Linked DNA regions of Danio rerio. The protein of the gene in region 2 interacts with the protein of the main gene of each other region in a biochemical or structural test. Links are inferred from orthologs where the notes say so. Each region holds a gene or a part of one and is shown on either strand. Other genes may lie near its edges.

The links. The genes of interacting proteins can lie anywhere in the genome.
Region 1: the proteins of elk1 (region 2) and srfa form a complex in vitro, tested with the Homo sapiens proteins (2 studies listed by BioGRID). The link is inferred for Danio rerio from reciprocal best matches to the Homo sapiens genes ELK1 and SRF.

What each region holds. Positions count from the first base shown.
Region 1 is NC_133197.1:37,095,171-37,100,576, reverse strand, and holds the start of srfa (serum response factor a), read right to left. Parts: upstream 3,453-5,406; 5' UTR 3,130-3,452; coding exon 2,680-3,129; intron 1-2,679. UniProt on the Homo sapiens protein: SRF is a transcription factor that binds to the serum response element (SRE), a short sequence of dyad symmetry located 300 bp to the 5' of the site of transcription initiation of some genes (such as FOS).
Region 2 is NC_133183.1:10,293,953-10,298,908, forward strand, and holds part of elk1 (ETS domain-containing protein Elk-1), read left to right. Parts: intron 1-2,383; coding exon 2,384-2,485; intron 2,486-4,956. UniProt on the Homo sapiens protein: Transcription factor that binds to purine-rich DNA sequences. Forms a ternary complex with SRF and the ETS and SRF motifs of the serum response element (SRE) on the promoter region of immediate early genes such as FOS and IER2.

The sequences.
Region 1 (5,406 bases), on a different chromosome or scaffold from region 2:
TTTAGATATTTATAAGTAAAATATTTTAAATATTGTGTAAAATTAAGCAAGCTCTACTTGTATCCATACAAGTTTTTTTTCCAACATAAACTTTCTTTAAAATAAAAAAAATGAACAAATGTTTTAAAAGTTTTAAAAACTATAACAAACCTAATCTATGCACAACAACCTGTCCAGGTCAGTGTCCTCAACAGTAAATACATGGACCACTTCTAAACAAATGTTATTACAAGGAAAATAATTAAACCATTATGATAAACAGAGTTAAAAATTAACTTTTAAATAATAATAAAAAAAAAGTTTAAAGTTGAGATGGATTGTTGGTGATTTTATGGGTTTTGGCCAGATTGGATAGCAATACATGAACAAATGAAAATTAAGACCTGTTTAAAAAAAGATTTAAGACCTACAACACAATATTTCAGTAAATTTGAGACTTTTTAAAGCCTACAACTTTGATTTTGAGATTTAAGAAAGGTATTTCTCAGCAGTATGATTTTAAGCAAATACTGGTACTTAAAAAGAGTTAGTATCTGAAATTTTACAATATAATCTAGTGATACTACTACTTCAATAGAATTAACATCAATGTTGTAATTTACACTGTTATTTTACAATAATAGAATCAGTTTCATGAGTTCAAACCATTGACACTAATATTATTAATGTTTTAAATGAAGTATTTTTACATTTAGTGGTAGAGTTTTTGTGAAGTGTTAGAATATGTATTAATTTAAACTATCTAAGCTAGCATCTCTACTGTAGCTCTAGGATCAATCAAGTGGAACTATTTCTATAGATTTAGTATCATATACAGGGCTCCCAGTCTAAACCAAATGTCAAAATATGTAAATTTTACTGACTAAATAGCAAAATGCTTGATTTCTGTGACGTCTTTAAGGTTTATTATACCTTCTGTTGGGTTGAGCACTGGGCAGACACAAAATATAGACAGTATTTAACAGGTAAAGCCTGGGGATTGCATTTTGACTTATGTGCATAAGGGTGGTTTTACATCTGTAGTTCGGTCATTTGGTCCGGACCAAGGGCAACAAATGACACATTGTAGCATTTTCTGCCGTTTTTGGGCCGTTTTCACACCAAATTGATTGCTTTAATCTGAACCAGTTGAAAATAGGGATGCAACGATTATAAATTTTGGTTGTACGCTTATAGTCTTAGAAATAATCACGGCTTTACAGTTATTTCGATTATTTGCATTAATTGATTTCAAAACCCCACTAGTTTAAAACTAGTTTAAAATTATTTTAAATGTTTTTTTTTTGTAGTTTGGGTTCAACTAAATATTTGTTGCCATTCTAATCGTTTAAGTTCACTTAATTGAATATCTAAAAATCAGTGGATATTATTGATGCATTTATTGGGTAAAATTGCTCATTCAATGTGTTTTTGGTCATTATCAATGCACTGGCTTCCTTCAAGTGGTACGCGGACTTCCTTCTAGTGGTACGCGGAGGAATCGCTGAATTATTCAAGTAAAAACTTTTAAAATTACATTTTAATTAAAACGTTGATGTTTTATTTATCTTTTTTTTACCTGTAAGTGTGTTATTGTTCAAACTTTTTATTATGTGGCAGACAATAATAAATATTTATAATACTAAGAATTAATTTGCCATGTTTGTAAGCGTACCGAGATCACCTCCTCTAAGGGGTCTTGCTATGCTTTTTTAGTCCGCTTTTGGTGCGCACTCGAGTACGATTGTTAGATTCACACCTGCCCAAACGAACCGCACCAAGAGGGAAAACGAACTCTAGTGCGATTCAACCGAACTAAATAAGGCAGGTGTGATAGCACCCTAGGACTTATGCCAGCTGACAAGCGGGAGAAGAATATAATTTGACTTTGAAAAACAAATTATAAATGTAAAGAAATAAGAAATACAACAACAATCCCTGTTATTCAATGACTTGGGCCAATAAAAATGGTTACACTTTATTTTAAGGTACAATTATTGTTATAAACAAACCATTAACTAAGACTTTTTTCTCACTAAGGTACTAATTTGCTGCTAATTAACTGTTAGTAAGAAGTTGGCTTTAGGTCAGAGGTCTCAAACCCAATTCCTGGAGGGCCCCAGCTCTGCACAGTTTAGCTCCAACCATCTCTAGCTCACCTACTTAATAGTCTCTACTAGTAGTAATACCTTGATTAGTTGAATAAGTTGTGTTTGATTACGGTTGAAGCAAAACTGAGAGCTGTGGCCCTCCAGGAATTGAGTTTGAGAGCTATGGTTTAGGTATTGGTAGGTTTAAGGATGTTGAATAAAACGATACTTTATAACTACTAAAAAACAACCAATGTCATAATTATAAATATGTAATAACCTAAAGTGTTACCAAAAAATGTATACAATTCCCTGACTTACAGGATGTGGGATAGAGCTTTTACAATTCCATGACCAGTGGGAATCCTGAATATAGTAATGTTAGTGGTACTATTATTTATACAGAATTAAACAAAGCACAATGAGGTAAATACTAAAGTTTACTAGAGTACCAGTTACTGAAGAACGTATTGGCATGGCACTACTAGTAGTTGTAGTGCTAATATTAGCATAGATGTTTAGCACTGGTGTAAAACTAGCATCAGTACAGCAGTAGAACAGCAGTGGTACAATCAGTTCCAGACTAACAGCAGAAGACACATGAACATACCTTCTTCATGATGCCAGTCTTTCTCTTGCTGAAGGTCGTGTATCTCCTCAGCTTGTTGTCAATAAACTCCATCTTAATTTTCACCCGTCCTCGCGTTTTCTTGCCGGGCTTCGCTCCGGCCACCCCGCTGGAGACCCCTCCGTATCCTGCCGAGAGTGCGGCGTTAGATCCAGAAGATCCCCCGACCTCCAGCTCGCTCCTCTCCCGCTTCACCCCTCTCCTGTCCGGCACAGGGCTCTCTTCATCGTCCCCGGAGTCTGAGTCTCCATCGGAGCCGCTCAGCACAGCCTCGACCGACGGCCCGTCGTCGTATCTGCCCCCATCGGGCAGGTTTATGACAGAGTTTACAGCCCCCAGAGCCCCAGATGTGCTGCCCACCTGTAGAGGTGTCAATCCCGTGCCATTACCAGAGCGTCCAGCCCCTCTGGCCGTCCCGTTGCCCCCTAACATCGCTGACCTGCAAGCGGCACTACGGCGGTCTGCGGTGGGTGTAAAGTTAGCGATCTGTGCAGCAGATCCCAGATCAAATCCAGACCCAAAACCGAACTTACCTCACATATGCTAGGCTAAGAAACATTAGCTCAACTCAGCGGACAACTTAAAGCAGGCAAGCGCTATTTCTGGTTACGGATGGATTTGTTTCAGTATGAAAGTCAGGATTTGAGGGTCTCGTAAACGACAGAAATAAACCTGCAAAACTAGCCCTTTACGACCACCGTACAAAGTTTACAACATATAGTTTCCGCCTACAGTCCATCAATCAAACCTCGACTGAACTTACGCTGCGCTTGCCACATTTGGAAACGACGAATCGCGACCGCGCAATGCAGCTCCGCCTTTAAAAATAGTTCTCTGCTTAAAGGTCGGTATTGTTTTAGATAATACGTTATTAGCTCATAAAAAGCACTATTTTGGTCAAATATTAAGTTTAACGTTTTCTGGGGAAAATAATTAGTAAAATATTGCTTATTTTGAGAATTTAACTCACGAGACGTTCGTCTATAGATCTACTTTCCTCCATATAAAGCGAGTCGATGTTTCCTTATATGGTGATGGCTGTCCATGTATGGTGAGTCACAGTGCTGCGCTGCGATTGGTTACGCAAACCTCTCCGACCCTGCGATTGGCTCATGTGTCATTTGGCTGACACAAATGATTTACGTCATACACAACGAACTAGCTAGCAAATGTGTTTTACCTCAGAACTGAATAGTAATATATAACGACAAAACGCCGCGTTTTTGAGGAGAAATATGAGAAAAGGTAAATCAAATGTACTTGATTGAGTTTTAAAACCTAATATAAGTTGACAGCGTGACCGCTTAATTTAAATTTAGGGCAAACTCGTCAAATTCAGCTCTGTGGGAGCTGTGCAAATGATGCGCTACTCCGTTTTACCAGCAGATGAAGCTGTTACGTTATATATTGGGAGATATAACATTAAGTCGTTTGGCTTTTTCATCCATATCACACTTACAAATAAAAATAATGTAATAAATAAAATAAACGTATTAGCAAACCTTTTAAATGTAGAAAAGGCTCAATGTTGTTGCTAAAGAATCGCCGTTTTAGAAGTTTAAAAAGTACATTTAAACAAGTTATACTCAAGTAATATGTATTTGAGGTAACATAGTGCTCAAATATGTTTCTCAAACACCTTTGTAAGCTATCCAACCTCACAACAAACTATTTTGGCATTTCTTTCCACTGATCAACTTACAAATAAAAATAATTACTTGCGTGTAATTTCTTCCATGATAGATATACAAATAATAAACTCCTTAACTCTTTAACTGCCTGCTTTACCAAATAGTTGACCATAATTTAACTGTTTTAAATAATGACTGTTAAACTAATTTACAGTTTGACTGTTTTAAATGATGGTTTACACACACAGCATTGTAGGTTTACAAAAAAATCAAACAAATAATCCTGTTGCACTACTACACTTGATTTTGGTTTTATAGTAAAACAACAACAAAACATGTTAAATGAGAATCTGAAATACTTTATGGTATACTTCAAAAAATAAAGATGATTTAGTTTATATATATATATATATATATATATATATATATATATATATATATATATATATATATATATATATATATATATATACATACATTTTTTTTAAATATAGATTGGCTTTACACTTCATATTTTCAGATTTTTTATAGTATATGTAATAATTTTGGTATTTTAACCATAAATCGACATATAAACAATTTGGTTGAGGTGGATATTTTAGAAATTATGGGATGTGTTGAAAAAAAATGCATTGAGTATGTTAACTAGCGACATTAGGACTTAAATGAAATTCCAATTTTTTCATGGTGGGGCATTTAAAGCGTTAAACAGAGAACAACTAACAACGCTGCCCTTATAATAGCTATGTTTTAAATATTTTGAATTGGGATGAGTTAATAAAATGATTTTAATCCAATACTAAACTGAAAAAGCGATGTTTCTCAAATGTCTTTGGTTCGAACCCAGTCACAATCACTCATAGTAAAACCAAACCTGAAATTGAGTACTGTGTTAAATTGGACAAGTCACCTCTTTGTCATTTTCATCCATTCATTTACTTTTCGGCTTAGCCCCTTTATTAATCAGAGGTCGCCACAGCCTACTTACCCAGCATATATTATTACACAGTGGATGCGCTTTCAGCCGCAACCCAGCACTTGTAAACACTCATACACTCTCCCCTGCACATACATACAC
Region 2 (4,956 bases):
TTGTAGTGGACATTTTTCTTATGAATTTGTTTAGTAATATACAGTGGTCTCTCATTATTCGCGGGAGTTATGTTCTAAAAATAACCCACAGTAGGCGAAATCTGCAAAGTAGTCAGCTTTATTTTTTGTTTCTATTATAGATGTTTTAAGGTTGTAAAACCTGTCACTACACACTTTTTTCAGACAGGCATTAACATTTTTACACTTTTTTTCTCTTGATTAAACACTCTCAAAGTTCAAACTTTCATAGAAAAATAAGTCTAGTGCTATTGAATGAAATCAAAGATCAAAACCTGTTGTCAGGGGCAAACATTCACTGCTGTCAGCAAAAGGTTCATAAAACTTTTTAGCTTTTGTGTGGATTATTTTGGCATCCAGCGTAATGTTCTTTTTCCTGTAGTCACTGATCCACAAAGAGAAAGCAGAATTCATCCTTTGGGTGTTGCTCACCGGATGCGCCACACATGACAGTTGGAAGTAACACACACCAGACTCGCACATTAGCATGTTATTTGAAATGAAATTATTCATATGGCTCTCTGTGGCACGGTAGAAATATGAACAGTGTCTTGAATTGTAGCTGGACACCACAGACAGCAAACGACTTGCGGCGCCAGTGTGCGTACCCTAACATAAACCTATGTTTACAGTTCTAAAATGCATGGCTGCTGCGCAGTGGGTCATGGCGAAGCGCATCCGGTGTGTGACCCCCTTTACAATGGTCTTGCTGCAGACAGTTACAACCCTTTTTGCATCCTTGTTGAAACTCACACTGTTAGCGATCAAAGATTTATATTAATTTGGCAAGCTGAACACATTCTGTATTGTACAGGAGACACAGACACTGATTGACAATGGCCTACGGCCAATCAGAACACAGAACACAATGTGCTGCAAAATAAAAAGCCAAATTGCACACAAAAAAAAATCCACGAAACTGCGAGGCCCCGAAATGTGAACAGCGTTATAGTGAGAGACAACTCATTGTCGCATTTTTAGGGTCCCCATGAAACATTTCCGTTGTGTTCCATGCTATTTGCATGTGTTGTGAGAAATGCAGCCTCTTTTCCTTACGTGTATGCGTTGTGTGGATTTGCAACATGTTTGATGTCAAACCGATGAGAATCTTTTCTCAATTTGCTGGTGTTTTATTGTAATTGCGCATGTTTTTTATAAAATTACAGCATGTTAAGCTCTTGGCTACCATAATATTGTTTAAAAAAAGAAAATAAAAAAAAATTATTATTAAAAAAACATGCTCTGCAGACCCACAGAGACGCACCTTTTGCAACAAAAGTTTGCGAAAATGTTAATCAACTAATTTGCCTCATTTAAATAATTTAACTTTTCATTCTTGTAATTATTATAACTTTTAGCAATAATGTCTATTTTTGTTTCTTTTTACTGTTATTTATTTCTCATTTGCTGTATACTTTATTAATTTAATTATGTTATTATATTACATACTTAATACAAATCTTAAATGCTTTGGCAATACTGTACAAAATGTCATGCCAATAAAGCAACTTTAGAGAGAGAGAGAGAGAGAGAGAGAGCAGTCTTTACCTGTCTGTGGGTGCACATGGCTCCTAAATGGGCTAAAAGTAAGAAAATGGTGGATTTCTTTCATTTCAACAGCCTTTTTTTTAAATAACTTTAAACCATCGAAAAAGAAAAGGTGTTAAACAGGGTCCCATTAAATAAAAATATAGTTAACATCACATTACTTTTTCGTTTGTCGCATGTAGTTGACCATCTATGTGCTGTGGGTAAAAGATGTGTTTCAATCCGCCTACCACCGCAAGTATATTTCAAATTTTCTTCTTTTTTTTTTACTTGTCCAAGAAGTGGGTTTACTTGCATATGTTTTAATAGGGTAGAAAAGACTATTAAAAATGTTGGTTGCTCAATGTGGTGGGATTGGATTTGTGCTGCTCACAATTTCATTATTAAGACTTGTACACCTCAGGAAAAACTATTTAATCAGTTTGACCACTCTGATTTCAACACAATGACTGATAAATGACTGATCACAGATCTTAAGCGTTATCTTACAGATTTTCATTGAAGTCCTACCTGCGTTTTTAAGAGCCAGATCTTTGCTTAGGCTGTACTTTTTATGTTTATCTGAAATATCTTGTGTTTTTGTGTGTGTGTGAGGCAACAATAGCATTTGTGCTGTGTGAAAGGGTGCTTCACATGCTGCAAGCTCTCAATGGGATTTTTCACAAAGGCAGAGAGATACTGAACACTTCTGTTACCAGATAACCAAAAACAAAGAGAAATAACACAATGACCTTGTAAAATGACACACACACATACACACACACACACATACAACCAACCTCTTGAATTGTCTCCCTCCCTTTTCTCTCCCGCTCAGACTCCAGTGCTGCTGACACCGAGTCCGCTGCCATCAACCATTCACTTCTGGAGCACGCTCAGTCCTATCGCTCCACGCAGCCCTGCCAAGCTCTCCTTCCAGGTGAGACTTCCTGTCCACACAGTTTCTGTCCACAGCATGGCAGCAGCACACCATCTGTCTCCTCACACTCGCTCAGCGCATCACATGGCTGAGAATGTACTCTCTGCCCACTCCATTCATAACCAGCGAATACACCACACCATAAACATTTGATATACATCTTCTTTTCTCAACTCAAGCCCCCCTGTATATTTTTGTCCCCAATTTCTGTTTAACTGAGAGTAGATTTTTTTCAACACATTTCTAAACATAATAGTTTTAAAAACTCATTTCTAATAACTGGTTTATTTTATCTTTGTCATGATGACAGTACATAATATTCGACTTGATATTTTTCAAGGCTTAACTAGATTAATTAGGCAAGTCATTGTATAACGCTGGTTGTTCTGTAGACGAGCAGAAAAAAATATTGCTAAAGGGGCCTAATAATATCGACCTTAAAATGTTTTTTTAATAAAATTTAAAACTGCTTTTATTCTAGCAGAAATTAAACAAATAAGGTTTTCTCTAGAAGAAAAAATATTATAGGAAATACTGTGAAAATTCCTTGCTCTGTTAAACATCATTTGAGAAATATTTGAAAAAGAAAAGAAAAATTCACAGAAGGACTAATCATTTTGACTTTGACTACTTGCAGTTGAGGAATGAAAGCTTTTTGGCATGGAGGAAACAAAATATGTTGAATAAAAGGGCTCTTTTGTTTGAAATAAAGTTTTAATTTAGACCAAATAGTCTTGTGATCATTTTTATTCTTAATTATTTGTTGATTTCTTTTTTTTATTCTTAAATGTTTTTTATTTCTGGCGGGAAAAAGAAACCGAGCCATTAGAAGGAATAATTTTTGGATGACACATCTGAATATATGAGCCATGCTGTTTAAAGCTAGCCAGTTATTCCCACACTTGTAAACACACATCATTTATTTAAATTTTGCTATTGCTCCAATTTGCTATAATAAAGGGTGATTCAAAAAGAATGACAACTTTGAAAATCTGTATTTAATCAAATAAACATGATTGACCATTTGGTAATTAATCAATGTGAAGAGTACTTAAAGTTTTTTTCAGTCGAAAACAAATTCATAGATGTTCAATATGACTCCCTACAGGCACTCGAGTGACATCACTCCGATACTTGAATTCATTCCACACTCTCCATAGGATCTCGGGCGTAACAGTTTGGATAGCTGCAGTTATCCCTTCTTTTAGTTCCTCAATGTTAGCTGGTAGAGGTGGGCGAAACACCATGGATTCTATTTTAACCATCTAGGCACAAAGTCTGATGCACAGGGCGCAAAAGGGTGTCTCCAAATCCACTTTTGCTATTTTAAGGACGGAAAAATAGGCTCTGCGTCGCGTTGCATAGTCTAACAGGGTTGAGCTTATTCTCTTAATGAGTTATAGGTGTGTTTTGAGAAAAAAACAATCAGAGCCTCATCTTGCATTCCCTTTAAGAGTCAGTTGCGTGGTGCCATAGCGCATTTGCTATTTACATGGCAGACTTTGTAAGTGGAAAAACTGAATGCTTCACTAGTGAGAAAACGGTTAAACAGAGCATCTGCAGTGGGAGAATGAGAGATGAGCCTCCTCCAATCGGCCTTTACTTTCACTTTCATTTTTTCTCTTTCGTTGATGAGGAAACGTGTTGTACGCACATGCATCCATTAGCCTACAAAATTAATTTTGTTTTTTAAGCGCAAAGATTTGTTTTAAAACTATTTATAAATTCAGTGTATGATAGGGCACCATATCTTTAACTTATCTCATGGGGTGAGGTCAGGGCTTCTTAGAGGCCAGAGATTAAGTGCTCTGTCACGAGCTGCCTGGTGGCTGATTACAATGCTTTGGTACCTTTAGCTCAATTAGGCACGAACAGATAAGTGCTAATGGGGTGGTGCCCCATCCTAGTGGAATATGAATTGACGTGCTGCTTCTTTAAGTTGAGGGAACAGCCAAGTCTGCAACATTTGCAGATAGATTTGCCCAGTTACAGTTGCACCTTCAAAGAAAAAAAGGTCCAAAAACTTAATTGGCTGTAATAGCACAGAAGATGTTCACCTTAGGTAAATCACGTTCATGCTGAATTGTTTGCATTAGCAACAGAAATGAAAGTTGTATAGCTTTTTTTAATTTATTATACATGAAGGCATTGCTGACCTTTTACCATATTTGTGTTGCTTCCATTTAAAAATCAATGAATGAATCTCAAGTAGAGCTCAGCATTTCAGCGATTTCACCGTCTTTAATTTGGCTCTTTGAATAATGGATCTGATTGCAATTGTGTTGCTTTTTGAGAAGGTTTTTTTGTTGTTGTTGTTGGACTGACCCCAAGAAAAGCATGTGAGCATCCTCTGCTGGACTATACTGTAGCTGCAGTACAGAGATTGGATGAATATATGTACATGTTGTTTTTTTTAAAGAACAGGCACAATAAACCTAACCCTAGCCTGTCTTGGCAGATATGTTTGTTGG